Xenopus tropicalis: one gene and its partner. The protein of the gene in region 2 interacts with the protein of the main gene of each other region in a biochemical or structural test. Links are inferred from orthologs where the notes say so. Each region holds a gene or a part of one and is shown on either strand. Other genes may lie near its edges.

What was found. The genes of interacting proteins can lie anywhere in the genome.
Region 1: of the proteins of syk (region 2) and flt3, one has a biochemical effect on the other in vitro, tested with the Homo sapiens proteins (2 studies listed by IntAct, with this or other methods). The link is inferred for Xenopus tropicalis from reciprocal best matches to the Homo sapiens genes SYK and FLT3.

Annotation. Positions count from the first base shown.
Region 1 is NC_030678.2:155,025,967-155,033,953, reverse strand, and holds part of flt3 (receptor-type tyrosine-protein kinase FLT3), read right to left. Parts: intron 7,976-7,987; coding exon 7,872-7,975; intron 7,453-7,871; coding exon 7,320-7,452; intron 7,239-7,319; coding exon 7,134-7,238; intron 5,937-7,133; coding exon 5,826-5,936; intron 4,563-5,825; coding exon 4,409-4,562; intron 3,994-4,408; coding exon 3,866-3,993; intron 2,833-3,865; coding exon 2,711-2,832; intron 2,355-2,710; coding exon 2,232-2,354; intron 1,567-2,231; coding exon 1,455-1,566; intron 1,143-1,454; coding exon 1,043-1,142; intron 1-1,042. UniProt on the Homo sapiens protein: Tyrosine-protein kinase that acts as a cell-surface receptor for the cytokine FLT3LG and regulates differentiation, proliferation and survival of hematopoietic progenitor cells and of dendritic cells.
Region 2 is NC_030677.2:138,466,916-138,474,902, forward strand, and holds part of syk (tyrosine-protein kinase SYK), read left to right. Parts: intron 1-2,532; coding exon 2,533-2,614; intron 2,615-5,029; coding exon 5,030-5,207; intron 5,208-5,600; coding exon 5,601-5,810; intron 5,811-7,279; coding exon 7,280-7,469; intron 7,470-7,733; coding exon 7,734-7,874; intron 7,875-7,987. UniProt on the Homo sapiens protein: Non-receptor tyrosine kinase which mediates signal transduction downstream of a variety of transmembrane receptors including classical immunoreceptors like the B-cell receptor (BCR).

The DNA.
Region 1 (7,987 bases), on a different chromosome or scaffold from region 2:
GAAAAAGTCTGCACCCAGACCACTCTCCAGTCTTAGTCGATTAGTTGCGAGATCCACATTGGAATTTGCAGCATGATGGTGAAATAAAAAGACAATCACTATTCATGGAATAAGGCATGATGGTCCTCTTTCTTCTTATATATGGTACTATGTTTATATGTATATATATATATATATATATATATATATATAGAGAGAGAGAGAGAGAGAGAGAGAGAGAGAGAGAGAGAGAGAGAGAGAGAGAGAGAGAGAGAGAGAAAAAACCTTTTTTTTTTCTTTTGCACCAAGTCCCTGAGTGTGCGGTACTCTTTCTCTATATGTCTATTTTTTTACCTGCACCCAGGGCTGCTATTTTGGTGGCAGGTGTGCTCCACTCTATATCCAGTATATATCTATATATATATATATATATATATATATATATATATATATATATATATATAGATATATACTCCCAGGCCTATTAAAGTTTGCATGATGTGCTAATTTGCTACTTGTGCAAACTGTAGGGGCTCAGTGATCTTAGGATTAATTAAATCAGTGGTTCTGAAACTCTGGGGCCCAGAGGCCTATGGCCAAGGCCTGAAAACTATGGTACAATAGGTGCAATGACAACTAAAATGAGTTTGGGTAAGATTTGGGCTGGACTTCAGACATCCAGCAGGTGGCACCATGCTCTATGTTAACTCTAAACCCAAAATAAAATATTATCTCGCACTTCTACTAATACTTTTGCAACCCCTGCCGCTTAAGCTTTTGCTTAATATATAAATCATTCAGAGTTACTATTTTTATATTTTCTAATTCTTATTAATATAGTATAAAATGAGGTCTCTCCTATATTATTTCTGCTCTAGGTTACTATGCAAATAGAATGGTGCTATCTACAGCTACCTATCTATAGTTCTTTAGGAGAGAAGAAGGAAAAGCCATTGTGCTATATAATGTTTTTGGCCCCTAAAGACAGTAGCGTGGCTCTACATATCCCAAGTTACGCCAATAGCCGCAGTAGTTCTAGCCTTCAGCAAGCATACATACTCACATCTCATTAGTGGAGTAGAATGGCTGTTCCATTTTAAATCCGCTTTGCAGGAGCTTGTAGAACTGGGCATTAACCTGAATGCCAGGATAGGGATTAATTCCTGTTGTGAAAAGAAGCAATATAAGGAGGCACATTTACCAATATTCTATTTCTAATTTTTTTACATTTTCGAACTCGACTGAACTCATTTCCTTCAATGTATAAAATTTACTAAAAGAAATCAGATAGGAAAAGTCTGTGTGAGGAAAAGTCGCAAAAGAACTCAAATTTTTCGAGCTGTTGCACAAAAACCAGCGTCAAAAATACAAAAACTATAAAGTTTCAAGAAAAAAGAAGGATCTTCCAGGAAAGTGAAGCAGCTACTCTTTAAAATAACGCACACACTTGTCTATATCATTTATAGAATTCTCACCAAGAGAAAAGATCTCCCACAGTAATATGCCATATGACCACACATCACTTTTTATGGTATATATGCCTTCAAATATGCTTTCTGGTGCCATCCATTTGACTGGCAGACGAGCCTACAAAAAAAATAGAAGCAAACCAAACAGTTAGAGATACAGGCCAATTATATAATTAAGTTATAGATAACACTAATAGCAGTAAAAAGGCATGTTGTTCCCAGAGCCTATTCACATTGTACGGTGGGGAGAGACTTTGAGTGGCCTAGAAAAGGAAGGAGGATTATTGGCAGTTGAGTTGCACAGAGAGGCATTAAGGCATGGGGGTGAAGATCAAAGGGATAGATAGGTAGGAATTATATCTGGGTATCAATTGTGACTATAGGTCATTTGCCTTTTGGTTTAGCACTTCCTATTCATCTGCACCTTGGCGTATGGTCATTCTCAGCAGCCATACATCCAAGAATTATTTGTCTATTTTGTCTTCATTTGTTCCAGCTACAGTTACATCTCAATTTTACATACCCTGATTTTAAGTTTTCTCTCATTTTACACTTTTTTTTGAAGTCCCATCAATATACAGTATAATGTATAATGTATTTCCCAGATTTTACATTTTCTTGGATTTTACACCACTTTTTATGATCCCATTAAAAATGTAAAATAGGGGTCTTGAAATTTCCATTCCAGCTTGGACAACATTAGGGCCACAGGTTGACCACTCCTGCCCAAACCCTTTTCCCTTCCTCAAGAACAGTAGATTATAATAACAAAATGTCACTTACATTGCCTTTGACCACATAGTTTAAGTCATTCTCAATATCTCTAGCAAGTCCAAAGTCGCATATTTTGGCCACTTTCCCATTGGTTATCAGGATATTTCTTGCTGCGAGATCCCTGTGGATACACTGTGCAAGGAAATGATTGGTTATCAGAATTTTGTATTCATCCCCACTCATTGGACTATCAGTTTTCATAGCAGCAATATTAGTCCCAGGGGCCTACAGAGGTTTGTAAGGATCAGAGAAGGTTCACATGAAGCATTAAATTCTCTGGGCCGTGTATCTCAGCATATATGGGTCATTTATTTATAATCAGATATCAGGAGTTAGTTGGCATATCTGAAATTCCAATCTCTCATATAGTTTCACCCAATCTGGTACCTATGGCAAAGATCAGTCAAAATAAAATAATGAATTATACTGTACCAATAATTATTTTATCCTCAAAGAAAGAAATATATTTTAAAACCAAGTAAACTTACAAGTTTTGACTCAAGGAACTCCATCCCCTTGGCAACTTGATATGAAAAGCACAGCAGGTCTTCAAATGTCAGAACATGCAGGTCTTCTTCATCATAACATCTTGTGTTTTCATATTTGATTACTTAAGAGGGAAAAAATAATTGTGTTATGTGATAAAACACAAGCAATAATATTTTTATTTCAGATTAAAAGAAACTGGATCAAATAAAATTTACTAGTCTGCCCATTTGTTTTCAAAGATATATCTCAGGCACAGGAGAGGAGTTGGCATGGCTAGTAATGCTGCTAAACACTTCCATTCAAGGGGACAATATCACTGTTTTTGCAGTATTAAATATTCAATCATTATAACCAGTACTGGGTCAAGAGATACAGCTGCCCAAGGCAAAACCTCTTGTACTACCCCCTGCTCGTCACCCTCCATTCACTGGCCCACCTGCCCATTGGCTGGCTTGCCAAAACATCACCCCCTACCTCCTCCACCCACTTACCAGGGACCTGCTCTGCTTCCAGTCTCCCAGGAACTTGATTAAAGCCAGGATAAATTCAGAGCAGTGGGAGCAATGATTTATGCTTTATTTCACATCCTTCCATTGTGCCTTAATCACACCCCCCCCCCCTAGTTCTGGTCCTGATTATAACTTTATAGATGGAGTAGTGGTAGCTACATTTATACCTGCTCAGGGCACAGACATGACATATATCTATATATTTTAGCTGGAGACACCAAATCCTCCACAATAGATTCAGCTGGATACCAAATGCCACATTTTATAAACTAAACCCATGGCACCAGCCTAACAGTTCGGCATCTCTATAGCAGAAATGATCCAGGCCTTTAACCTTGAGCTCCCCATCTTGGAATTTGAGTGCCAGTGGCACTGCACATGCTCAGTGCGCTCTGGGCAGCTGTTGAGAAGCTAAGCTTAGGGGTTGTCTCAGTTTTCCAAGCAAAAAATTAGGTTTCCTCTCATAGTAGCTGATGCTGCAGAGATGATTAATACATTCTGATTCTAATTGCACTGGTTTGGGAGCTTCCTTATATTATGACATTTATATTGTATACACTGCATATACAGTATACTATCAGTCCAAGTGTGTAATAGCTTTTCTTTTTATTATATAAAACAATAAAGTTTTTTTGCATTTCTTACATTCTTCCTGATTGTCATTTTGTTCACAGTTTAATGAGAAATCCCATCTTTGTTGACTGTTCCCAGATACCAGTGTTCTGTTCTCGGCCATGTAAGAGCCATTGTCCAGGAGGCTTTCACGTCTCACACTAAAGACAAGTGAAGCGAGAATCACAGAAATCATTCATCTATTAAAGTCAAAATAGGTGTAATTGTATCGGGCAGAGAAAAGGAGTACATTATTCAGTATACAATCTACTGTGTAAATATCAGCTATTTATGTAACATGGGGTGGCCTATTTGTCAACATTTTCATTTGGTTCAAATATTTGAATATGTGAATTCTAAATCTTATTAAACTCAGTTTTTTTTTAATAAGCATCATTTCCAACGTTTATAGAATTTTTCTCCGTATCGCAAATCTTTTTAAAGATCTGCAAATTTTTCAGAGAAGCGAAATGGGGCAGATTCACTATTTAAAATGGGAAAACTCTATTGACGTCTAAGGGAAAAAACTGGAACTGAATTAGGAGAAACGTTTTTTGTTCTTGGATTGAATCTTACCTGGGTTTTTGGTGCTGAGTAAAATTATGGTAGAAACTAAAGTTATGGTCCTTGACAACATCTGTCCATGTTTTGTGAAATGTTTCTCGTTCATTTCTCAAATAATTTAGAAGATCTCCATGACGACAGTATTCAAAAATTAGGTAAACAGGTCCTGTTGTTGGTTAAAGAGAGTATAAATCACTATGACATGGCAGCATTATAAGCAATCAGGCTACAAAGGCTCAAGGCAGCTGTATACAAATGGGGTATAGCAGTTGTTCTCAGAACAACCCCAGCTTGGTATAAAGCATAGTAAAACTGCAGAGAATTGTCAGAGGAACTGCGTACACCAGCTATTGGACAGCCAAGGTATTCCTTTGCAGAGGCCAGCATAAAACTTAAAGGGATTCTGTCATGTGAAAAATGTTTTTTACTAAATGCATCAGTTAATAGTGCTCCTCCAGCAGAATCCTGCATTGCAATCCATTTAGACATATTCTTAGTTTCCCAAGTGCCCTCAGCCATGCGACTTGTGCTTCAGTCTCTCTTTAATGCTACAAGTTGGAGTGATATCAACGAGCAGATTACAAGATAACAGCTCACTGACACCTGCATTGCTAAAAATGCTCCCTTGCCCCACCTAGTGGGAGATATAAGAATAACACTCAATAGTAAAACACTTTCCAGCCCTGACTCCAGTTACATTGAGTAGGAGAAACCAGGTCCGGATTTGCGGAGAGGCCGCAAAGGCCCGGGTGGCACAAATTTAGGGGCGGCATGCCGCCCCGCCGCAACGAAATTTTGAAATTTTGCTCCGATACGGAGCAGTGGGGATTTCTCCCCACTGCTCCGTATGGGAGTTAAATGCCTGCTCATGCGCGCTTGCATCGACGCGGCGCGGCATGGGGGGCTTGTTCGCGCATGCGCAGGGGGCGCGAATGGGGGACGGCCTAGGGGCGGCTGCTTTTGAAATCCGGCGCTGGGAGAAACAATAGGTTAGCTGAAAGCAGTTCTAATGTGTAGCGCTGGCTCCTTCTGAAAGCTCAGACTCAGGCACAATGCACTGAGATGGCGCCTACACACCAATATTACAGGTAAAAAATAGATTTATTAGTTCAGGAATAAAATCTTAAATGGTAGAGTGAATTATTTGCAATGTACACGGCTTGGCCCACCCCTGGTGCATTTTGTAATTTAGTAATAAAATCTACACCATAAAATCATGACAGAATCCCTTTAAGCATGGTGAAGTCTGGAACAAGCTGTGTAATGTTTTACTTTTTTGTTGAACTATTTATTTTACAGACCAGACTAAGTGCTGATCACTCTTACTGTACTGAAGAATTTGCCCTTACGTGGGTCAGAAATAACATTTAAGGGTGTTTAATACAAACATACCCAATTCTCAAACAGGATAGAAGAGTAACATAATTACCTGCCGCTGTGCACGCTCCCAGCATATTGACTATGTTTTGATGGTGCCCAATTTGAGTCATCATCTTTAGTTCTGACATAAGCGCATCTTTTTCCGAACCATCAGCATTCTCTGTGAAAATAAAAAATGCCAAATATATTTTTAAACCTTATTTTGCCTGTGTATTTAGCCATGGAACCATAACAGGTCCATAGTTATAAAGGATCCTACAACACTGATTTTCTAGTCTTTCAGGGATATATAATTCTTATTTTCAGACTTGTCACATGGGAACAGGGTAACACAAGTGTTGTGATGACTATTTATAAGGGTCAAACCAGTCAAGAAAAGGACTTCCAGGTTCATAATAAACCACTTTGTGTCCACTAATGTCACTGATGTTGGAACTAGAGGTGGTTAAGGTGACTTGACTACACGTTCCTGTCCCTTTTCATGCTTATTCTTATGATGTTAAAATGTTCTTCAAAAGGTTTCACAGCAGTATCTGGCATTGGGTATGTCTTCACCATATACTAGCACATGAGCTGTACTGACACTATAAACAACCAAAACATATTCTTAAAAAGTAATAAAGTTCAGTATTGGAAATATTGAAATTGGCACCAGGTCCCTGTTAGACGTGGAAGAGGTGAATAAAATTTGTTGGGATTTTTATTGATGCACCTGAGCCCTTTTGCAGTTTGTCTTTGGATGGATTTAGGACTGTGTGATAAAGCTCCTGCTGCAATTTAAAAGCCATGTTGGTACAACCCGACAAAGAGGGTAACTGGTGTAATAGCTTTGTCCCAGTAACAGGGAGCAAAAAGCAGCCTTTGGGATCTAATTGGATGTTTCAAGGTTATAGGGAACAGACCTCCAAATAAGTATTGAAACACCAAAAAAATGTATCACTTTTGTGAAATGGTAATGCTATTAAATCCATGGCACAAATAGTTTATTTAGATGAAGCAGGGTTTTACATATGGGCTGTTCTATGTAATGTATTTTAATAGAGACTTACATTGTTGGGGGGGGGGTATATTTCTCATTTAATGAGCAATTTCAATATATCTTGGTAGAGTTGGTCAACTTAGCAATGTTTTGGGGCCCTAACATGAATTTGCAGTGGGCCCCAGTAGCCTCTAGTTAAGCCATTTCTATCTATCTACTGGGTAGAGAAGCTTAAAAATATAAAAGCTGGGGATGTTTCAGATGTAAAAAGCACACTTGTGAATATACTATATACTCATTTGAAAACTTCCTTAAGCCAGTAGAGTAGCCTTCAGTCAGCCCATAATGCATTGAACTACTGTGGATATGTCAGCATACCTTTGAGCATTTTTACAGCAACTTGAAGTGAGACCCCTGGCTTGGTAATACCATATGCGGTTGCGGTCACCACCCTTCCAAACGCCCCAGAACCTAATACTTTCCCTAGGATTAAAAATATTTAGTTAGTTTTGTGTATTATTTATTTAAATTACAAAACAATATTGGAGATTGTCATTATCGTACCAAATTCCAGATTTTCCCTAGGGAACTCCCATTTTAGATCATACTCCAAGATACTGAAATCAATGTATATGTATTCATTGTCTGATGGGCCAATGTACTGAATCATTTGTAACTGGCTTTGATAGAGGTTCTTCTGTAAACATAGGACAGAGCAATGTTCAGAAGGATTGCAAAAGGCAGCATAGATCTACTCTAAAGGTGCCCATACACGGGCCAAATCTAGCTGCCAATATTGGTCAGTGTATTGGTCAGTGTATGGGCACTACCGACGGGACTGCCTGACCGATATCTGGGCTGAAATCGGACAGATATCGATCGGGCAGGTTAAAAAATCTAGTCGGATCGTTGATGCGGTCCCCGAACCGACTTTGCCTATACCCTTCGTTATAATTCAACCGCTTGGCCCTGGGGCCAAACGATCGAATTAGCCTACACATTCCCCGATATCGCCCACCCGTAGGTGGGGATATTGGGTGAAGATCCGATCGCTTGGCGACCTCACCAAGCAAGCGAATCTTCACGTGTATGGGGACCTTTAAGCTGTATTCTTACCTTTTGGGATTTGCTATAAATCAGTGCAATTAAGAAAAGGATGCTTATTGCACAGAGACAAGTTACCACGGGAATAAAATATGAATTTTGTTTAACAATGGCTTCTGAAAAAAAAA
Region 2 (7,987 bases):
AGTGTTACTGTCACCATGTTGCTTTACTATATCTGCTGTCCTACAGTCTCACTGTTTCTTCCCAGAATGTATTGTTCCTACTATTACATTCAGTGTTGCACTACCTTCTCTTCTATAAATTATACCGTGGTGTATTTCCTACCTAAAACCACTGCTTATGAGGCCCTACTATGTATGAGGCCCAGGGCAATTGCCCCTGCCCCACCTCACTAAAGACAGTAATGCAGTAGTTTTGTAGTTGTTGGTTAAGTTCAGATTTTTACATTCTTAAAATTAAAAATTAAAATAACAATTATCCTCTGAAGGGAAATGCTGTCATCTTCACAGTAAAAACTGCAGTTCTCAAAATGCCAAGAACTGTTGGCAGTCACTTCCCAATATGGAACTGTCTATGGGGGACAATAGATAGAGGGAACAAGTCCATCCGCCAGTATGAATCATGCCCATGCTTATTATAGCTTGTGCCTTAGGCAGTCTAACTGCCATACACTATAGATGTCTGCAGCCAACAGCTGTTCTAGGCATTGTATGCACCAATGCTTTCTCTGAGAAGCTTGTAAACATGATGCCATCGCTGTCCTGAGTTCCATTATGTTTAATATGGTTGTTAAGGGAACCCAAACAAATCTGAAGTCACTGTTTCCCCTAATCATTGGTTTTGGGTGGGGACTTCCAGAGAAAATATGAAATAATTATATTATGCCATTTTAACTGCAGCCTACACATAATTCAGTTGCAGAAATTATATATTTCTCCCTTCACATTCATTTAGCCACTTCTTCATCCGCTTGAAAACTGCTACAAACATCTTGTTTGTTTATTTATGAGCCAGCAGTGCTGCTTTAATATTACTAACTGTGTGGTAAGCTGCTAAAATTACATTAACCATTGATGTCGGTTTCTGCCCTCCACCTGCTATAGACTCAACTACCAGCTGACCTACTGAAGATGCTGGGATTTGTTGTTAATGACATTTGAAGGGCACGCATTTGACATCTCTGCTCTTAACACTCTGCTTTTGGCCCCTAGTGTGGTTTGAAAATAACACAAAACAAGTTGACATCAAAAAATTTGGAAAAAAGGGAAATCATGTATATTATCACAAATGTATCATGTGTCATAAAATATGTGCAGTATATTGATGTGGTGTCAGTGATTGCGGTCAGTGACAGAGATGTTACCACATAATTGACACCACAGAATCATAATATATAAGGAAGATTTTAATTGTTGGGAGGGCTCTTTAGTCTATAAATTCCAGAAATAAGAATGATATGTATAATATTTTTTTTCTGGTATTTGTCTGGCTTAACAAAAGCTCCATGTGTGCTAAAAAAAGAATGAAGTGGGCTTTTCCCAGATTAACTAACAGATAGAATCCAGGTTCTTATTAAAGAGATTTTCATTTGTGGTGAGCTTTGGAACCAGAATGGCCTTCTACTCAACCACCTAATTGGCCTCTATGTTAGTACCATGGCCATTTCTGCATGAGAGAGAATAGAATAGATTGAAGAGAGGAATGATAAAGTAGTAGACAACACCCTAAGGGAAAGAAGAAAATAGGAGAAAAATATCAGATGGGTTTAGAACGGGGAATAAGGGACCAAGGGGTGAAGGGAGAGATAAATTAAGGGCAGAAATCATAGAATGTATTGACAAGACAGTGTGGTACAAAAGTAAGTGAAGAGCAGCAGAAAAACCTATTGGAATGTGGTCTCTTGTCCTAAGGTTTCTAATTTGCTGGTGCCCAGGTTGGCCAGTTGGACACTGGCTCCTTTTTATTTACAGTTTTTTTTTCTTTTGCGAGTGTCAAATTCCCTGCAAGGGAAACAATGGGTAATATTTACTAAGATGCAAAAATACAGCTTGTCTATCTTCAACAAAGTTTTTTTCTGCAACACTGCAAATGTAATGTGCAGAACTATCAGGGGCAAAAATACGTTGTGTAATTATGCCAATGTATTTATAATATAACTAGGCAAGTTTTAGTAAATATGTCCCAATGTGTGGACCAAGTGACTGGTTAGTTATATAGTATTTATAGTAAAATAGTTTATGAACCAAATGTGCACTAAGGCTTATTTGAAAATGAAAACAATGCAAGTGCCCTTAACTAATCGGCAACTATAGCAACCAGTCAGCTTTGGTCTGTTTAGTGCAGTTACAATTATGAATGCAAAAGTCTGATTGTTACTGGTTACTGCAGCAGTGTACATTTGCACCAGTGTTAGAGAATGACCCTTACTATCAATGTGCCATAATGAACTGTAAAGAAAAAAAATAAAATGTATTTTGTCAAATTTGTATGTAAAGAATCGTAATTTGAAGTTGTAAGTACAACAAAAATGAGCATAGGTGTCATGGCAAGTTAAACAAGATCATTTGGAACATGCTATTATATACACACTACTGACATTTTTTTCTATAAAGACAGCTTGATTTTCATCTTGCCATGATAATTTAATTTATACTTAACTTTTTAAAAACACTATGGTCATATTTAACACAGATCTATTTTCTTTACATATTTAGATGACACTGAGTACTGCAGGGGCTCCCAGGCGGCACGGAAGTTCTACATCAATAAATACTTATGTACATAGGCCAAATGCAGGTAAGTTTCATTTAACACATTTACAACAAAATGTCAGATTTGAAGCTGCACCAGGCATATTCTAAAGAATAGTGATGAGCAAAGTGTTTTCGATGTGTGTCATTTTTTTGTCACACAGCAAACTTTTTCTGTTGCAAATTATTGCGCCTGTTTCATGAAAAAATCCGCCAATGGTGAAGCGGGCACAAAAAATTTCTTGACACACGTAGCTTTTTTTGTTGCACAGCAAATTTTTACGTCCGTTTCACCACTGGCGGATTCTTTCATGAAACGGGCGCAAAAATTTGCTGTGCAACAAAAAAAAGCCGCGTGTGTCAAAAAATAAAGACACATCAAAAAAAAACCTTTTGTACATTTTTCAGCAAAATGGCACAGATTCGCTCATCACTAGTAAAGAAACCTAAATATCAGAATGGGCACCTCCCTGTAAGTGACTTTTAGCTGAAAAAAATTTTCATATTGTATCCATTTGTTTTGTATTTGACATGTATAAATACATGTCATATCTATTATGGTAATACAAAATTATACAACATTCACATAAAATATGGATGAATATAGCCCATTTGTGGGGGGCACGTATTACAGTATTGCAAAAGTGTTACATACAGTATACACTCTGTTATCAGATCTTGATAGGTGGCATTGGTTCTTAAAAACATAATTATCTGCTTTAATTGCTGAAACTTCACGCACTCTAGTTTTTTCTTTTGGTTTCCTTTGTTGTGTACATAGAGAAAATTAAATGTAAGGGCATTTGCATTTAGCAGTTTTTTGTTATAAGGCATTGCTGTCCAACTAGTGGTCTGCGGGCCACATCTGGCCCTTGACCCCCCACTTGTGTGCCTGTTTAAGCTTTAAATTGTATCAACACTGAGATTAACTGGCATTGTTCACATCTCAGATTCAGGCTGTAATCAACTGCATTGTTCACATCTGTAAGGTCCTGCATTGTTCAGACCTGTAAGACTGCAAACTGTAGGCACCTGCATTGATCACCTGTTTACACCTCCTGTAGGAGCAGTGCCGACAACTGTTTATCTTGGATTGTTCATGATCAATTACTTATGTAATCATGCTAGGTTTATCTGTCTCCTTCCCTACACTGCCTGTTCTGCTGTACTCTGCCTGCCCTATGCTGCCTGTGTGTGCCATACTCTGTCTGCCCTATGCTGCCTGTATGTGCCATACTCTGCCTGCCCTGCCCTGTGCTGCCTGTGTGTGCCATTCTCTGCCTGCCCTATGCTGTTTGTGTGCGCCATACTCTGCGTGCCCTATGCTGCCTGTGCGTCATACTCTGCCTGCCCTATGCTGCCTGTTTGTGCCATACTCTGCCTGCCCTACTCTGTCTGTTTGTGCCATACTCTGCCTGCCCTACCCTGTCTGTGCGTGCCATACTCTGCTTGCCCTATGCTGCCTGTGTGCCATACTCTGCCTGCCCTATGCTGCCTGTTGGTGGTGAACCTGGCAGGGGTTTTTTCTGGGAGTTTGTTTGCCTTTGTAAATAGTTGTTAGGGGAACCCTAAGGTATGTAATTATGTGCTGGGGGGTTGCTGTGCTACCGACAGGGGAGGAGGAGACATATGAACTTAAGGGTATGTCCTAATATGACATAATAAACTTATTTTACATATGAGTGATGGATGCACTACCACCATTAATGTGAGTATGGTCTTAAAAACTTTAGTGGTAACATGGCTGTGGTTTAAAGTGGGTGTGGTCAAAACTGGCCTCCATTTTTCACCCTCTGCTGTGTAGGCCAGAAAAATTCTGTCCCTCGGTACCACAGATGTTAGACAGCACTGTTACAAGACATACATTCAAAGGGGTGTGGTCTTAAGTACTTTTTAAATGTATCCATGTTAGTTTTAAAACAATTTGTTAACAGTTTAGTTGGTCTGTGCTTAAGTTTTCAATTTTGGATTTACTAGGTGACCTGACTGCCTGATTTCATTTAAATTTTAATTCTTAGGAAGTCAAGAATTTCTGGTCTTGCTATCTCTTTGCCTGTATTAGTCTCAGGGAACTTCTCACAACTGATAACCTCATAGGGTGAAGTGAATTGACAAGATATATTCAGTGTCGGACTGGCCCACCAGGATACCAGGAAAACTCCCAGTGGGCCCAGGTGTCAGTGGGCCCTCTTGCTCCTGACCATTTGGCTTGTTTCATGGTCATTCCCTATTTCTGAACAGGAAGAAAGAGGGGAAATAGATGGAAGAATAGATGCTAGTATGTAAATAAAAGGGACTGGGAGAATAAAGAGGTTGGGTGAGGAAAGGAGGAAAAACTGTTTGGAAAGTGGTCCTAGGGTCTAAGGTTTTCTGGTGGGCCCCTGGGTTCCCAGTCCGACACTGGATATATTCACTTTATATAATTTAGCTTCCTTTAATTGAATTGCTTTGATCACCTCAGAAGTCACAATGGATTCTATGCCTATGGACACTGATGTCTATCGAGGAATATATGAAGACCCAGATGAGTTCAGACCCATGGATGGCAAAATATCTCGGGAACAGCTTACTTTGTTTGAAACTGAGCTAGGCTCTGGCAACTTTGGAAATGTTAAGAAAGGAGAGTTAAAGACATCAAAGTAAGGCATCCATTTGTTTTGTGTGTTTGTGTGTGGGAAAAGATCATCTATTTTTTGACTAACTATATTATTGCATTAATGATGCAGACAGCAGATAATGAATGCTCTCTCATTGCAAAGTACCAAAAAATACACTCTGTAGAGCTCTGATTTGTTGCTTACTAATAGTCTGCATTCCCAGAATTCCAAATCTAGTTTCTCTGCAGTATCTCAGAAGTAAGTGACAGCAATACTCAGTAGATGTTACTGACATAAACAAAACTAAAAACCTTGCAATGTTGAATATTATAGTGCAATATGTTTGGGCATTTTGCCAGTGTTAGTGGTTCATGTAACATTTACTTTTGCTAATGATTTGTATCACAAACACACAAATGCTTATCCTTTGTACAGATCTAAAAAACCAGTAGCTGTCAAAATTCTCAAAAATGACAGCAATGATGAGTCAATGAAGGATGAGCTGCTCAAAGAAGCCAAAGTCATGCAGCTGCTTAATAACCCTTACATTGTGAGGATGCTTGGAATCTGTGAAGGGGAATCGTGGATGCTTGTCATGGAGCTGGCAGGACTCGGGCCTCTAAATAAGTTCTTGGTTAAAAACAAGTAAGCAAGCGAGCAGGGTTTGGTTTCCTGGGGCCATTCCATATTAGTATATCATCCACTGGGACTTATCTTTGCTGGTGTTTGAGCTGAACAAAAGAACTGAACAAAAGAAAAATGGACAAATGTACCCATACTGTAAAATATTAGGATATTAGAAGCAACTGTGGAGTGCCTTTTTTTTCCTAAAAACTATAGTAGTGGTTTGACAATGACAGCTCTGAAGGACAGCCTTATTAATCTGGATCTCTGAAATGCTGGAATGCTGGTTTAGCACAAAAACATGTACTTTAGATTTTAGCAGAGTTTAGGGAATACACAAGGTGACTAGCGGTAGTAGGTGTGATTATCGTACTATTCTGAATAGCGATGAGCGAATCTGTCCCATTTTGCTTCACTGAAAAAGCCACAAAATTGCAGAAAAGTCTCCAAAAATATTTGCAAAATGTGGCTAACGCATCCCTTTTTTTTTAGATAACTGCAACTTTTTGGCACAACCGTGACTTTTACGATATGGCTGCTTATTTTCCCTCACTTGGCAAATAAAATTGCAGATGGTGAAAGGTGGAGTTTCCATGCCTGGTGAAAGATTTCGCTCATCACTAATTTTGAATGGATTCTTTTAGATGTACAATATTGTATGTTAGAGTGCACAGCAGGATACAGGAACTGTAAAATGCAAGTGGATTCAATTTCTAAATTAAGGGTATAACACTATAATAACAGGAGGCTGCTGAAATCCCCTCAGCCTGCTCCACAATAGAGTATGTATTACACTTACACCCTTTACATTGACATACACCCCACTAATATGGTGAATTGTTCGACAGGACTGAACAGCTAGGCATTAAATGATATATTTGTGCAATTCAATAGAAAAATAACTGACATATAGTATACATGCCAACCAATCTTACTCCTGGATTTTACTCCTGGATTCCTTTTAAAGAAATATTTGGTCAGTTCACATATTCTTAGAATTTGAGGCATAGAGCTGCTCAGTTACCTACCACCTAGACAGCACTTTGAGAAAGGATTCTACCTGTCAAGCAATTTGTTCACAGACTCACCCCTATATTCTTTGGAAAATACATCCTTCATCCTTAATCCTTAATGAGGGGAAACAAACCTTCCCATGCCTTATATATAGTAAGTAGGTTCATACGATCCAGGGATTACCCAGATCTCCCACTCATGTCCATGTAGAGCTACCCCACTACCATCAGTCTCATAAAACATTCATCCTAGCAGCTAGGTTCCTATCCTCTTTACTAGGTAGGGGTACTTTCTAGTAGAGATGCCATAACTCTAATATATTTTGTGGATATTTTCACCATGTACCAAAAATATTATAGTATACATTTTATTTTATTCATAATAGCATAGATTAAGCTTATTTGAATTTGTATTTTTTTTAATAACATGGTTTTTAGGTGCAACACATTTCTACTTACATCTTTTTACTATTACAGGAATGTCACAGAACATAATGTAACAGAGCTTGTACATCAGGTTTCCATGGGAATGAAGTATTTAGAAGAAACAAATTTTGTCCACAGAGACCTGGCAGCACGAAATGTTTTGCTGGTCACACAACATTATGCCAAAATCAGTGATTTCGGGCTTTCCAAAGCACTTGAATCTGATGAAAATTATTACCAAGTAAGGTTTTAAAAACAAAAACAGTAAAAACAGTAAATATAATATGATTAAACTCTACAGCCAGGGATTTATTTCGATAAACAATACTATTGGACAAGGGGGTAAAACTTAATTGAAACTCCGCTGATTTATCATATCAGGTTCAATGAAGCAGAATTTTATTAAGCAATATAATTATGTGACCTTCACTCAGCACTAGAAGAATCAGCCTGGTGTCCAACTAAGATTTTCATTTATACTATAGCATGTGTGCTTTCTTTAAAGGCAAAGACTGCGGGTAAATGGCCCATGAAATGGTATGCCCCTGAATCATTAAACTATCATAAGTTTTCAAGCAAAAGTGATGTATGGAGCTTTGGAGTTCTGATGTGGGAGGCATATTCCTATGGTCTAAAGCCATATCCGGTAAGTTGGTGGTTCTTCTGTTTTATTATATTTATCATTGTTTCATTGTTAGGAGGTGTTGTTTGCCATACCTAATGTGTTTTCATTTTACAATAGGTAGGCAGAGTCTGTTG